Linked DNA regions of Elephas maximus indicus. The protein of the gene in region 1 interacts with the protein of each later gene in a pairwise test. Links are inferred from orthologs where the notes say so. Each region holds a gene or a part of one and is shown on either strand. Other genes may lie near its edges.

What was found.
Region 2: the proteins of COPB2 (region 1) and COPA interact in a two-hybrid assay, tested with the Homo sapiens proteins (2 studies listed by BioGRID, with this or other methods). The link is inferred for Elephas maximus indicus from reciprocal best matches to the Homo sapiens genes COPB2 and COPA.

The regions. Positions count from the first base shown.
Region 1 is NC_064844.1:37,619,960-37,627,807, forward strand, and holds the start of COPB2 (coatomer subunit beta'), read left to right. Parts: upstream 1-4,804; 5' UTR 4,805-4,920; coding exon 4,921-4,923; intron 4,924-7,848. UniProt on the Homo sapiens protein: The coatomer is a cytosolic protein complex that binds to dilysine motifs and reversibly associates with Golgi non-clathrin-coated vesicles, which further mediate biosynthetic protein transport from the ER, via the Golgi up to the trans Golgi network.
Region 2 is NC_064821.1:199,026,462-199,033,429, forward strand, and holds the start of COPA (coatomer subunit alpha), read right to left. Parts: upstream 3,098-6,968; 5' UTR 2,968-3,097; coding exon 2,928-2,967; intron 1-2,927. Other genes in the region: NCSTN (nicastrin), read left to right, coding at 3,194-3,278, 4,877-4,981. UniProt on the Homo sapiens protein: The coatomer is a cytosolic protein complex that binds to dilysine motifs and reversibly associates with Golgi non-clathrin-coated vesicles, which further mediate biosynthetic protein transport from the ER, via the Golgi up to the trans Golgi network.

The sequences.
Region 1 (7,848 bases):
GTCCGCTGGTCTCCGATGTGGGTGGGGTGAATCCAAGTGGCACGGGCGCTGCCCTTCCTGGCTGGCCAAGCCACCGCAGCCAGCCAAGAAGCTCGGTGGTAGAGAGTGGGGACACAATGGGGGTTGGAAAAGCAGGTATCGCTGGTTGCTGAGTGTCCTGTCTCCGGCTGGGAGATCCTCAAAGCTGCTTTCGCATGCTCCATTTCTCCCAATCCCTGACAGATGTCCAAGCTGGCAGGTCAGTGCTGCGTTAGCTGATGGGGCCATCTGCAGGTATCTCTGCTCGCTCTCTGTCCTCTGTCAGTTTCTTATTCTATTCGGTGATTGGCTGAGTTCTTTATCTCTTCATTTGACACTTCAGGTTCCAGAAATGACATTGTCATAAAAAATTTTTGCGACTTTCCATGAAGTTTCAGGGTTGTCAGGAGTTTATTATAGGTCACCGTGAAATAATACTTAAGTTATTTAACTAAAGATCTTAAAGTAGGCTGCTTTCCCCCCTCCCCCCCAAAAGCCACGTGGCTTAGTTTTCAGCTCAGGAATCTTAATCTAATGAGAGGCCAACCTTCTGCTTTTGAAGCAGATCAGAGAAAGAATAAACTAACCCTTTAACTCAGAAATCAAAGAAAATTTTGTTATTTAATAGCTAGAAACCCAATACTTTGTTTTATATTTTATTTAATGTTAAAGCGCCTAAAAATATCATAAATCAAACCATGAGACTTTAGTCAGACAGATAAATCTTTTGACCATACCAATTTCTTTTTAATAAACCTCTTAAATGTTGTCTTTGTTGCATACCTTTTATAGTGCATCCCTTTAAATGGCAACAATGAACTCACTCATCAGCCGATCCAAATATACACATATATCCTTCCTCTTGTGGCATAAAAAGCTTAAATTACAACAAATATCTATTAACTCAATTTAACATCAATAAATTACCTAAAAGGCCTTAGAAATTATTTTAAGCCTGTATTTTTTTATACCATAAAACACATCTGTTCTTGAAAGAAAGTCTGTTTAAACATTCTAAGTTTTCATTCAACTTTTACTATTTCCCATATTTTCCCAATCTAATGTTTGCCCTTAAAGATTTTATCAACTGGCTTCAGAAGTCTCTGATCAACTGACCAATTTACTGATGCGGATATAACCTTAAATGTCTGGCTAGGTTATATCCCAGGCCATTTCAAGTGTGTCTCATTCTGACTTCTACATGACTTTGGAGACTGGAGGCTGGGGAACCCTGATGTTGTCCTACCCTCTCTATTTTTTGACTCATGGTAGAAGACAAAATTAGGCCATTTGGTTCATTTATATATGTTTAAATTGATTGAGGCATTTTGAAAGGCTATGTACCCAGTAAATACCAAAACTTTTTAGCAATTTTGTAAATGAATCCGTCAATTCTTGGCTAGTGAGACTGGAGGCTGAGAGGGGGTCATCCTAATTCATTTACATATGTTTAAATTGATCTAGGCATTTTGAAAGGCAAAGGATAACTAATTTCTTTCCCTTTTATTATTCTCTTGGAAAGTAGTTTTGTTTTATCACAGCCTTCTACGTACCCAGTAAATACCAAAGCCCTTTAGGAATTTTTTTTTCTAGACTTCCCTCCTTTTTCATACTCTGGAACTGTTAGTTTTACTTTAAGACAAAATTATCCTTTTTCTTTAAATAAAACACATTTCATATGATGCCTAGCTTAAGTTATTTAGAAAGGATTTGTTTTTATGATTGACTTAAACCTAAAGTTTTTCAATATAGGTACTAAAAATATAAATTATAAGACAAACACAAGACACAGTTTTTCTCGATGAGGAAAGAACTGAGGTTCTAAGACAGCCTTACAAAAAAACAGCAATTCTCAGCCATAGCCTCCAACCTGATACAAGACAAAAACTTAGACACAATGCTCTAGATCAGAAGCAAGCTTTCAGAAAAAAAGGAGACAGAAAGACCACATAAACTCTCCAAACAATACCACATAAAACAAGGTTTCTTAAAGTGTATATAGCAGTTTTTGGTAAGATTGACTCAATTCAACAGAAATAACAGGTTTTAGATAAAACATTAACATGCCAGAGCATCAGATCAGGAATATTATTGTGATTCTTTACTGAGAAACTCTATCATAAAACAGGTATGGAGCTACCACTTCTCCCTGCAAATCTGGCAAAACAAAAGCACTATTTTCCAGGTTTTCTCTGAGCCATAAAAAGAAACCTAATGAGGAACACCACAGGGTTTGGACAGTGTTTCACTTAGACCAATGTGTACCTTTGTTGTGTGTTTGCTTGTGGGTGGCAGGTAGCCTAGTGCTCTAGCCTGTCTCTCAACCACCTTATCCTGTCAGGGGAGTCTTTAACACTCATGATGAGTACCAACAATCACCTCAACGGCTTTTACCTGTGCCCAAATTTTTTGGCTTATAGTGGTTCAGAGCTCTTTTGAAAATAGAATTACCTCTTTGATGTTTCAAACACCTGAATCTGGACCTAAACTGTAGTTCACCAAGAGTTACTAGATATCACTCTTAAACAAACAATCAAGCAAAAATCTAAGGAAGACTCTCCTTAAACAACCAGTTTTTCAAACAAATATACTGAACAAAACTTAAGAAAATATGAGAAAAAGAACAAAAAGAATAAGCAAAGGCTCATTTTCCAAGAGCACTCACCCTGTTGATGTCAAAGTGATGTGAAGTGTGAATGCTTGGGTCCAGAAGGCAGGACCTCTCTCTTTGCCAGCTTCTGCTCTGCAGTCCAGGTCTCCTTGAGGTCGACTGGATTCCTGGATTTAGAATCCCCGCAGCAACTAACTCTTGCAGGGTGAAAACACCACAAGGTTTAGTAAAGCAAAAAGAAAGGTTTTATTGAGCATATATTTAAAAAGGCAAGAGTAGGAAAAGGACAAGCATGCTGCCAGAGTCATGTCTGTCCGAGTCTCTGTTCCCAGTTCTTAGGGATGCACCTTGGTGGGCCGAGTTTTGGGATCCCTTGAACGTTCTCCATTTTCTAGATACACACACTTATACAACCTAATCCGGTACAGCAATTTAACAGGTATGTGAGCCTTTTATGCCCCCAGCAGTCAATTTCTCCTGCCTCTTGAGACTCTTCTAAGGCCTTACCTAGGCACTTACCAAACAACCCAGGTGTGTTTCATGTCTCTCTCAAAGCCATGCTTACGGTCCCAGGTGGGGGGATCAGCTTTCAGAGCTGCTCCAAGGTCTCTAGAAATCACCTAGTGGCACCAGACATTTGGGCTGTTCTGTTTTCCAGTCCACCCTGGGAACCAAGCAGATGGCTCCTGGCTGGCTCGCTAGAAATGTTACTGGGTAGAAACCCCAGGTTCTTACTTGGCATGATTCATATTTACCAATAAATGAGAGACCAAGGTGGGAGAACAAGAAAGGCACCTTTATATTTCCTTGTACAGGGAAGTGGAGCAGTTGGAGCTACTGCTGCCAAGACTGCTCCCCAAGGACTAGTAAGCAACCTACTTTTAAAGGGGTTTACAAGTAAGGAGTTCATACAAGTTATGTCAGCAACATTCTTAACCATACTATGCAGATGCAACAGGGTTTACATATAACCTCCAAGCAAAAGGAGGATTCGAATGCAAAGCTGCAGTACTGGGGGGGGGGGGGGGGCGGGGGATGGGGCCCAGTAAAGTAAATGATTTTGCAATACAACACTGTAAGGGAAGAAGCCAGGTAAAGAATACAACACTTTAGGGGTTCTGTCTCAGGACATTACTAACTTAGATTAATATAAGGCAGGTTACTGGAAGCTGGGCTAGGAGGGGTAAAGTTACAGCACATTTCTCTTAGAAACAGCTTGCTCAAGTGAAATTTTTCTTGTCAGCAGTTACCTAGGAGACCTAGATAAGAGTCAGCAACAAAGTCTTCTTCTTGAGACATTGTTTCAGAAAGGGTCTTGATAACGCCCCTGAAATAATTTGTATATATTAAAAGAAAGGCAAGATGGAGTAGGGCTCCAAACTCTAAAGCAGCCATTTTACTTCAGTCAAGTGCCTCAGTTTACTTGCTCACTCAACACTTACTACCTATGGCTTCGGCCAGGACACTTCTTTGAACCTGTTTCCTCATCAGCAAGACGGATACAATTCGGGTTTGATGTGAGGATTTGAGAGGAAAGTATGTTTGGCACACAGCCCAATACTCAAATATTTGATGAATAAATGAAAAACACAACCGATACTCAATAAACGGTGATCATACATGACTTAGCGTTCCAAACTCCTAGTGAGCTACTGAACTGAAGACTCTTTCGCCTCCCTCCGCCCTCGGAGGCCTGATGCTCAGTCTGGAGTACGGCTCATATTTTCTCAGCCTCAACCAGTGCCAGGCCCATGGCCTGGAGAGAACGCTCTCGGTCTCTTCCTCTTGTCCGCCAGGAGTACATTGGTTTTGGAGCTATGCTTCGCCTCCTCTCTCTCCCTTTCCTCTTCTTAATGACACCACTCTACTATAGGGGAAGCTTCTCCTGCTGTTAGCGACCAGCGGAGATTCAGCACTTCGCTTTTCTCATCCTTTTTCTCTCTCAGTTTTCCGATTCTAATCTCTCATTTTTCCGGTTCTAGGCCTTGTTCAGCCGCCCCAGGACACTACCCTCCCGGTGGAGCCAACGCCACGTCTCTGAAATGACGCCAGGTCGGACCGCTACAGTTTTGACAATGGCTCGTTGCCTAAGAAACAGGGGAGGGGCTTGGGAAAGCGACGGACCTGCGCCGAGTTTGCGCAGGCGCTTGGGCCGTCACCTTCTACTATCGCGAGAATCGCCTCCCGGAAGTTCCACGTCAGTCAGCCTGCGGGTCCTCAGGTCGGTGGTTCTTTCTGAGCCTGAGTCGGCGGTAGCAAGCGAGGGCCTTCGGACCTGGACGGACCGAGCCATGGTAGGTCCAGGCCCCGCAACTGGAAGCGGGGCCCCGCCGGGTATAGCTGGCTCCTGGGACTCCGTGGCTGGGGCCCGCAGTAAGCAGCGGCCTGGGCTCCTGGTGCGGCCTTGCCAGGTCTCGATCAGGCGTGAGCCCTGAGAAGTTTGAGAAGGCTGTGGGGCCCAGGAATCCAAGGTGGTTTCTCGAGGCACTGCCTGTAAGTGAGGGATCTTTGACTTCCCTGGTGCTTGTCAGAGCCCCTTCGCTCTGCAGTGAGGTCCGTAGTCCAGGGACTCTAAGAGGCAGAAAATGTTGAACTGCGTAAGAAGGTGTGGTAAAGTTATTTCATTTTGCCCTTAAAACGATGACTGCTAACTTAGCGGAGAAGCTAAAAAAAGTAAAATGTTATGTGGAGTCAAAAGGGGAATTTTAAGCGCTTTAGGATCCCAGCTCTTAAATTTCTGGTGGGAAAAGAGTTGGGGAGGGGAGTTCATAAAACTGGCTAGTGTGCTTTTCTGCATTTGCAAATATAGTGGCTGGTAAGAATGGCAGTCACAACTACACTTTCTTTTTATCACCCTCACCCTAGAAAATGCCCTAAAATACCGGAAGACAAATGTCTTTTCAGAAAAATGTAAGAGTCAGTGTTTTATATTTAAACATTTTCCTGTCTTTGTACTTGTTAGAAAGCATAAGATCAATGATTTTAAGCCTGAAGACCTTAAGGATTAATTAATCCAAGTCCCTCATCTTGCATTAAACAAAAATCCCGTAAGTTTGCACAGCTAATTGCGGCGGAATTGGTACTAAAACGGGAGTTCTCGTCATCTTTTATGGATCATTAATCTCTTGGAGAAACTGATAAAAGTGATGGGTACTCCCAGAAAGGTGCATGGAAGAACATACACAGCTTTACATAGAATTGCATTGGGTACACGCTCTAGGAAACCCTATGGGGCAGTTCTACCCTGTCATTAAAAAAAAAAAAAAAAAAAAAAACCCATTGCTGTCGAGTCCAACCCTGTCATATAGGGGCGGAATTCACTTGATGGCACATAACGACAGCAACACACAGACCTACTTCCCATCCCCAGCCTCCTCTGTGGCCTTTCTTGTATCTCCAGGTTAAGAGGCCCTGAATGAGACCTCAGATCTCTTAATTATACGAACTCAAATCACTACAGCCTCTGGTTTGAGCTCTGCTATGCTTGCTGTAACATTTTCAGAAAAGGACCTTGGATCTGCCTAATTCCTTTTTTTTTTTTTTTTGCAATCTTTTAATTAAGAAAATGTATTTCTGTAATGAATTATCACCTCCTTTCATTTAACGAATTTATAATTTTTTGTATAAGTTGAAAAGTATAAATTCATTCATTTACCAGAGAGCATTTATTATGTGCTGTGTATTTCAGTAAAACTTGCCAGTTGTGAGATAGAGCTATAATGTTATATTGAGTGCTTACTATAAACTAGCCACTGTTCTAAGGGCTTGACTTTGAATTTAACTCACATAACACTAAGCAGGAGACAATAGAACTCTTTTTGTTATATATATGTTGAACCTGAGAGAGGTTAAGTAAACTTGCCCACTCTTGCACATGTAAAATGAGTTGTGGAACTAGAGTTTGAGTACAGGCAGCATGACTTTCTAGACTTGAGTTATACTACCTATCGTCAACCCCTCATATCCAAATATATGTGGTGCTATGGAGATTAAAAAAAAAAAATTTTTTTTTTTTTATGGAGATAAAGACACATATAAGAAGTGACCCTGTCCTCAAGGAGTACCTCCTGTAGTAAGCAAGAGACATGTACACAAATGTACTGTGAATGCTTGAAATCCTATAGGAAAAGAAAGGATACTTCTGGCTCAGGTCATCAGAAAGGTCTTATTAAGCTGAGTCCTAAATGCGTGCAGCTTTGGGAAGATGGAAATGGAGGGAGACATTTAGAGTCGAGGGTACAGTATAAGCAAGACCAGGATCCTTATCTAACGAACTGCTCAGCACTCTCCCCAAATACAATAGGCTACTTCCCTCCATACCCTGTAGAGATGTCTGTCCTTGCACCTCAGGTACTTTGTGACAGATTTTGTTTGTAGAAGTAATACAGTTAATAAAGTTGTAGAAGAAATGAATGGCCCAGCATATTCAGGGAACAGGAATATTGAGTAGTTAATTTGATTAGTGTAAAGTTCATTCAAGGGCATTGTGGGAGATAAGTCTTAAAAGGTAATTAAGAAAAAAAAGGTAGTTGGGAAATAGATTTTCAAGAGCCTTGTTTTTAGGTGCTGTCTAGTTGGTTCCAACTCATAGCCACCCTGTGTACAACAGAATGAAACATGGCCCTATCCTGTGCCATCCTCACCATCTTTGTTATGCTTGAGTCCATTGATGGAGCCGCTGTGTCAATCCATCTCATTGAGGATCTTTCTCTTTTTACTGACCCCCTACTAAGCATGATGTCCTTCTCCAGGGACAGGTCCCACATGTCCAAAGTGTATAAGACGAAATCTTGCCATCCTTGTTTCTAAAGAGCATTCTGGCTGTACTTCTTCCAAGACAGATTTGTTCGTTCTTTTGGCAGTCCACAGTATATTCAGTATTCTTCACCAGCACCATATTTCAAAGGTGTCAGTTCTTTGGTCTTCTTTATTCATTGTCCAGTTTTCACATGTGTATGAGACTTTTGAAAACACCCTGGTTTGGGGGCAGGGTGCATCTTAGTCCTTAAAGTGACATCTTTGCTTTTTAACACTTTAAAGAGATCTTTTGCAGGAGATTTGCCCAGTGCAATATGTCATTTGATTTCTTGACTGTTGCTTCCATGGGCATTGATTGTGGATCCAAGTAAAATGAAATCCTTGACTTCAATTTTTTCTCCATTTATCATAGCGTTGTTTATTGGTCCAGTTGTGAGGATTTTTGTTTTCTTTATGTTGAG
Region 2 (6,968 bases), on another chromosome or scaffold:
CTACGGAGCGCAGTTCTACTCTGACATACGTGGGGTTGCCAAAAGTCAGAATCGACTCAATGGCTACTGGTACCCGGTGGTATTAATGCAACACCCCTCTGACGCCTCTGCATGGTGCCCTGTATATCAGGACCTTTCTACTCTGGCTCATAGAAACAAACTATTCCAAGCCCTGTGTGAGCTCCACAGACTGTTCTGCTTTTTACTTTCCAGTGGTTCTTGCCCAGGCCCTGAATAGTTTCCTCACATGCACATGCAAGGAGTCCTCAGTCAAAGACCCAAGGGGACCCCATGCAGATCTCCAGTCATCTCTGTGCAACTCTCTCCACTGGTACTTTGTCCAGCAAATTCTAGCCACCTTGGCTTCCCTGAACACTAAACTCTTGTGTGTTCAACTCAGCGAGACCACAGGGCTCTTCCTCCTTCCTGCTACTGTGGCCTGGAAATTCTCTTCAGGCAGCAAGCTAAAACAATCATAGGACTCACCTCCTTTATCTCCCTTCTCTCAAGGATCACTCTCCTGCACTGCGTGTTGTCCAGTGTTTGAAAAGCTTTGTTTCATACATTTTGTCCGGTTGTGTAGATATTTAAGGTTGGAAGATAAATCTGGCCCCTGTCACTCTACCATGACTAGAAGTGGAAGTCCCCAAAGGTAACTACTATTAACAGTTTGGAGTATTCCTTTTCAGATTTTTAATGTAGTTACATACAAACGTAGATCTTATTCATTGTATGAAAATGGGGATCACATTATAATTTTCTGCAAAATTCTTTTCTCATGTGGCTATATATCATAGATCTCATTCTGTTTAAGTACACATAAACATAATCTCACTCTTTAAGTGTACTGTACAAATGCATCACATTTTTAAATTATTTTACTGATGGGCATTTAAGTTTTTTCCTCCACTTTTTGGCTATCAAAAAACAGGACCTAATAAAAAACGACAACAATAAAACAGGACCTAATGAAGATACGAGGAGCCTGTGGCCTCAGTGGTTAAGTGCTCGGCTGTTAAGCAAAAGGTCAGCACTTCAAACCCACCGGCCACTCTGTAGGAGAAAGATGTGGTAGTCTGCTTCCGTAAAGATTACAGCCTTGGAAACCCTATGGAGCAGTTCTACTTTGTCCTAGAGAGTCACTCTAAGTTGGGATCAACCCCACTGCAACAGGTTTGGTTTTTGTAATGAAGATACTCGCCATGAGTCTGAATGGACTACATGACAACTAATAACAACAAAGACACTTTCACATATAACGTAGCCTATCTGCACTATCACTGTTTTAGGCTAAAGACCTGGAAATGGAATTGATTGCTCAAGAATAGGGTATGTGCATTCAAAATTCTGATGATGGTTGTTGTTAGCTGCACTGAATCTGAACCAACTCACGGCAACCACATGCAAGAAACACTGTTTAAATGCAAAAAGGGTGGATCAGTATAGACTCTCACCAAGTTTATAAAGGTACCTGTTTCACCGGACTTTGGACAACATAAGATGTTATCCGTTATTTGCTGTTTTGTTAACCTAAGACAAAAAAATGTTTTTGTTTTTTTGCATTTCTTTAATTAGTGAGGTGTGGCATATTTTCATTTGTTTATTAAACAATTACATTCCTAATTCTAAATTTTTCATTCTATTTTTCCATTGGGTTGCTCACTTTTTACCTTTATGATATACCTCGTTATCTGGTGCCACGGAGCCAGTTTTGACTCATGCCATCAACCCGTTCCCCGGGATTCGATTCCAACTCACAGTGATCCTACAGGACAGAGCAGAACTGCCCTATAGGGTTTCCAAGGCTGTAAATCTTTACATGCCACATCTTTCTCCCACAGAACGAGTGGCTGGTGAGTTTGAACCACTGACTTTTCAGTTAGCAGCTGAGGGCTTTAACCACTGCACCTCTGGGGCGCATTCTCTCTCTATAAGAGAATAGTAACTATTCACATTTTACAGATGAGGAAACAAATTTAGAGATGTTAAGTACGTCGCCCAAGGTCACATACAGCTTGTTAGTGACTATTTCGGGATACTGAAGCAAGTTCATCTCATTCCAAATACCAAGTTCCAAACCACTTTGCTATGCTGCATCTTATCAAATACTGCTGCTTTAATTTCTTTTCCAGTTCTCAGCAGACCTGACTTCCTTGCCTTTGCCATTAAAACACTCTAAAAGACTACTGCTGCGATTTCAGCCATTTGCCCCCAACTCCACCCCTCTCTTCTACACACTCAAGCTCTAGGGTTGCCATATTTAGCAAATAAAAATACAGGAAATGCCCAGTCAAATTTGAAGTCCAGATAAACAAAGAACGATACTAAAAAATTATTCGTTGTTAATCTCAATTCAAATTTAACTGAACGTCCGGTATTTTACCTGACAATCCTGCAAAGCTCAGATTTTACTGAGAGCTACAGACCTCAAAGTCCTGTTTTCCGGTAAGAAACAGACCCTAGTGGAAGCACTGGGTGGTGATATGACGCAGCCAAGGCTTCCTTAAATGAGGTAGCCAGTGCTCGTCTCCAACAAAGCTACTGACTCGGGTGCCTGTGACAGATGGAGACTCAATCCCCAAGACCACTCCCCACAACACGATCAGCAAAAAGACAAGAGGTTACAAGACCTTACCGGCAGAAGAAAGTCGCGGCCACAGCCCCCAGGAGCATGAGAGGGGAAAGAACAGGGAACTGACCTAAGGGATTGCGGGGCTGGAAACCACTCTGCAGGTAAATCAGGGCCCGAGGACACACCAAAGAGGAGACTGGAGAACGGCCCTCCAGGCCTAACTTCCCTCCCTCCCGTCCTCCTCAGGGTCCGTCGATGGGCCAAACTCAGCCAGCATGTCTACTCCCTTTCTTCCCCCGTGACAGCGCCGCCCGTGACATCCAGCCTCCGTGCTCCCCCTTTTCTTCTCCAATACCTTTGACCCGCGCGCTCTTGGTCTCGAATTTGGTTAGCATCCTCCCGACCTCCGGTTCCGAGGTCCTACTCCGAGGCCCGCCACTCCCTGCTGCCCTTTGGTTGCCTCCACGTCAGCGTCCCTCCGCAGTAGCCACCGGAAGCGCCTCAAGACACGAACTTCCGGTCTCTGGAGCTCTGGGCCACAGAGATGACGCCAGTGGTGGCCTAGAGAGGCCGCTACCAGACTGAAGGGGAACCGAGGCTTCCGCTCAACTGAGAGGCAAGATGGCTACGGCTGCGGGCGGCTGTGAGGTTGTACGGGGAAGTCAGGGTCTTCTTCACCTTCTGTCTTTCTGCGTCCTATTGGCAGGTGAGGCCTCCCATGCCCGTGAGCTTCGCTCTGTAAGAACCCTCCGGATCGGCCCAGCAGCTAGCGCCGCCGTCTCCCTTTCTGGTCCACTGCCCCTCTGTCCCCCCGCCCTCTAAATCCTTTTTCTCTTTCGTTCCCGCGACAGAAGTTCCCCCCTTTTCCTGGACCTGAAGGCCCTTCTCCCTTCGGCACATTGTGCCGCTCTCTTCCTACTTCCAGGCCTCTTCCTGGACTTCCTGCCCGGCTATCTCCCAGTTTGTCCGAATGCTGATTTTTTCGCACGGCCCCAGCCACCCTATCCACAATCAAAAGAGACAGGTGTCGGTGTTCAGCTTCCTTCCCAGAACGTTTTGACTTTTTAAGATGAAACCAGGCTCGTTTTGTGGGTTCAGGGCTTAGGAAGGTAGATTCCTCGTTTCTTCCTCTGTTGGTTTCACTGTAAACCCCTGGCCCTCTGCCTTGCCGCAGTTTCTTTCATCTGTAAAGTGAGACTTCTGATATGGGTATTCTTAACTGTTTAGACCCTGAAGTAATGATCCAAGGAACTTTATGAATTTGTGGTGTGCAAAAGTGTTTGCTTACTTGTATTTATTTTTTGATACATGATTTTCTACTTGTTGGAGCCTTAAAATGCAAATATGCCTGTATGTAACCATGACTGTGCCTTCCTCCAAATTCGTATTGTGTTTAAAGATCCCAAATGAGAAATTCTAGCTGCCCCCCACTCTGGGCACACACAAACCACCAATTGGCGCTTTTGGTGTAGTTGGTGAAGAGTTGATTAACTCTGACAGGTGTGTGTGTGGCATAAAGTGTCTCCCAACTCTGTTCCTGTTGAATATACCATGGCCTGCCAGAGGAACGAACAAATCAGCCTTGGAAGAAATGCAGCCAAAATGCTCCTTAGATTCGTAGATAGCAAGACTTCATCTTGTTTTCGACATGTCATCAGGAAAGACCAATTGCCAGTAAAGGGCAACATGTTTGGTAGAGAGTCAGTGAGAGCAAGGGGAACCCTCAATGAGATGGATCGACACAACAGCCTCAACAGTGTGCTCAAACATGTCAAAGATCACGGAGATGGCTCAGGACCAGGCATGGTTTTGTTCTTTTGTTCCACTGCACATAAGGTCACCATGAGTCAGCCAACTCGAAAGCGCCGAACACCAACAACAAGGTCTATTCAGGCTCTTGGAAAAGTATCTCAGAAAGTTTTTGTTTTTGTAATCTGTACCCCATTATTAACTAATTATTAATATACATACAGGACAGAAAAGTAGACATATGATCAACCACGCAGCCAGAAGCTGACACAGCTGAGGCCAAATGTGCCTTTTCTTTGACAAATCAAGTTTTCTCTCTTTTAGCTTCAGAATCAGCTTCTCTGTGTGGAAATTGTAATAACCCTCTGAAGCACTAGTTGAGTGCTTTGTAGAGCATGTATCTGCTTTAATAATGTGCCCAAAAAGTGAGAGGAATGGATATTCTTCCCATTTTAGAAAATGTGATATTGAGTGACTTAATGCAGTAAACTCATGACATAGCAGAGGCTAATATCAACGTCTCACAATTTCTTCTAACACTTTCTGTTTTCTCAGGTTTGTGCAGGGGAAATTCAGTGGAGAGGAAGATCTACATCCCCTTAAATAAAACAGCTCCCTGTGTCCGTCTGCTCAATGCCACTCATCAGATTGGCTGCCAGTGTGAGTTGGGGTTGGGATTTGTGTTTGTGGCCAATGATATTTTAGTCTGTGCCCTAGATATAAATTAAGATCCATATCCTGCTTGGGAGACTCGGCACTCAAATTAAACTGTGTGGGCAGGAAGTGATAGAGAACCATCTTGCAAACCAGGCAAGGTAATTAATGAGAGCTAACACTTAGTAAGTGCTACATACCCAGCTTTTTACATGAATGTCTTATTTGACCCTCATAACAACTCCATGAGGTAGGTCTTATTATTTTAAATAAAGATCATGAAAGCAAGGCTTAGAGAAGTTGAGTAACTTTCCTAAGGTCATGCTAATAATAAGTGATGAAGCCAGGATTTACACTGTAGTGGTCCAAGGTCAAGGAGTCCTGGTGATGCAGTGGTTAAAACGCTTGACTGCTAACTGAAAGGTCAGCAGCTCAAACTCACCAGCCGCTGCGCAGGAGCAAGATGTGGCAGCCTGCTTCTGTAAAAATTTACAGCCTTGGAAACCCTATGGGCAGTTCTACTCTGTCCTGTAGTTGGAATCAACTCAACAGCGGTGAGTTTGTTTTTGGGTCTGAGTTCTAAGCCAAGACTTAATCATCCTACTATACTGCCTTCTAAGTAGAAGTCTCATATCCTGTGGAGCCTAGTCATCCTCTGCCCTCTGAATGATCTTTTTGGAACCAAAATGGGCTTCTTAAAAACAGTGAACTGAGAAGAAGGCATTAAGAATGCCAAATAGTTGTCAGGAAGAATTAGTAAAACGTTCAGACTTGTCTTTATGCTTTGTGACTGTGTTCCAAAACCGTGGCAACATGGTTCTAAAAATTATAGACATCACAGAGGGAAAAAAAGGTGTGATGTGAAGGCCAAACCCCAGTTCCTCTGCTGCTTAACCTGCTGTCTTTAGATTTTGTTCTTTCACGGCCAGTGAGTGTAGTTTCACAGATAGGCAGGAAACTCAGGGCCCTATCTTGCTTCTTCATCATCAAAAAAATTGAATTTACACCTATAAAAATGGCTAGACTAGTCCTGCACAAAGCTGAAAATCAGAGTACCTTTTATAGGTGTTTATACAAACCCTGGGAAGTGTCTGTGTATACACTATACGCTATTTGTCCCATGTCCCTGTACAGAAAGTACTGGGACTGAATTGACTGGTTCCAAACCACCCCAAACAGAACTTCTGTTGGACTTAGTTCCTTAACTGCATTTGCAGGTGGAAAAGAGCCAGGTCCAGTATAGACTGAGATCAGACTGCTGGTCTTGCTAGAACCTCACTGTAAGTATCAGAGGCCAGGAGTCCATCCTCCTGGATCTGGGCTCTAAGAAATCCCCTCTGGGAACAGTAATGCACAGAAGTGTTTGCTTATATGTATTTGTTTTCGAAAATACAACTTTATAGTTGGTGGAAGCCTAAAATGCAAACATGCATTTCCTAGCGTGTTCTTGGAGCAACTCTGTGGGAAGAAAGCAATAGCCTTTAGAGAGAAAGCCAAGTTCCAGTACAGAGGAATGAAAGGGAAGGGCTGGACTCTGGCCATTCCCTCATTAAAGCCTTATTTCCTGTTTCAGCCTACTTATCTGTAAGTCTTACCTCATCATATCTGTCCATTCTGAATAGGCTACAGCTTCTTTAATTAGAGTTTTAAGCATGATAAAGCTAAAGAAAAATAGTTTGATTTTTTTGGTTATAATAGCCATTCTTTTAGGCTCTTTTCTTTAAGATGTTCAAAGTTCTCTATGTAGATTCTTTTTTTTTTATATCTCTCCTCACAGTATGAGATGACTAGAGAGTTGAAAAGCTTCTCCCCAGAGAAAGTAAGCAAGTTAGTTAAGATTATGTAGTCACTGATTGGAACCCAGAATAGAATACAGGTTTTTTTTCAGCGCAGCGTCATAGCTTGTTCTAGTTCTTTCTAGAGCTGAAGTTATATATTTTTTATTTGCTAGACTATCTTTTCCTTGTCCCACGTTTCAAATGCTGTGGCAAGG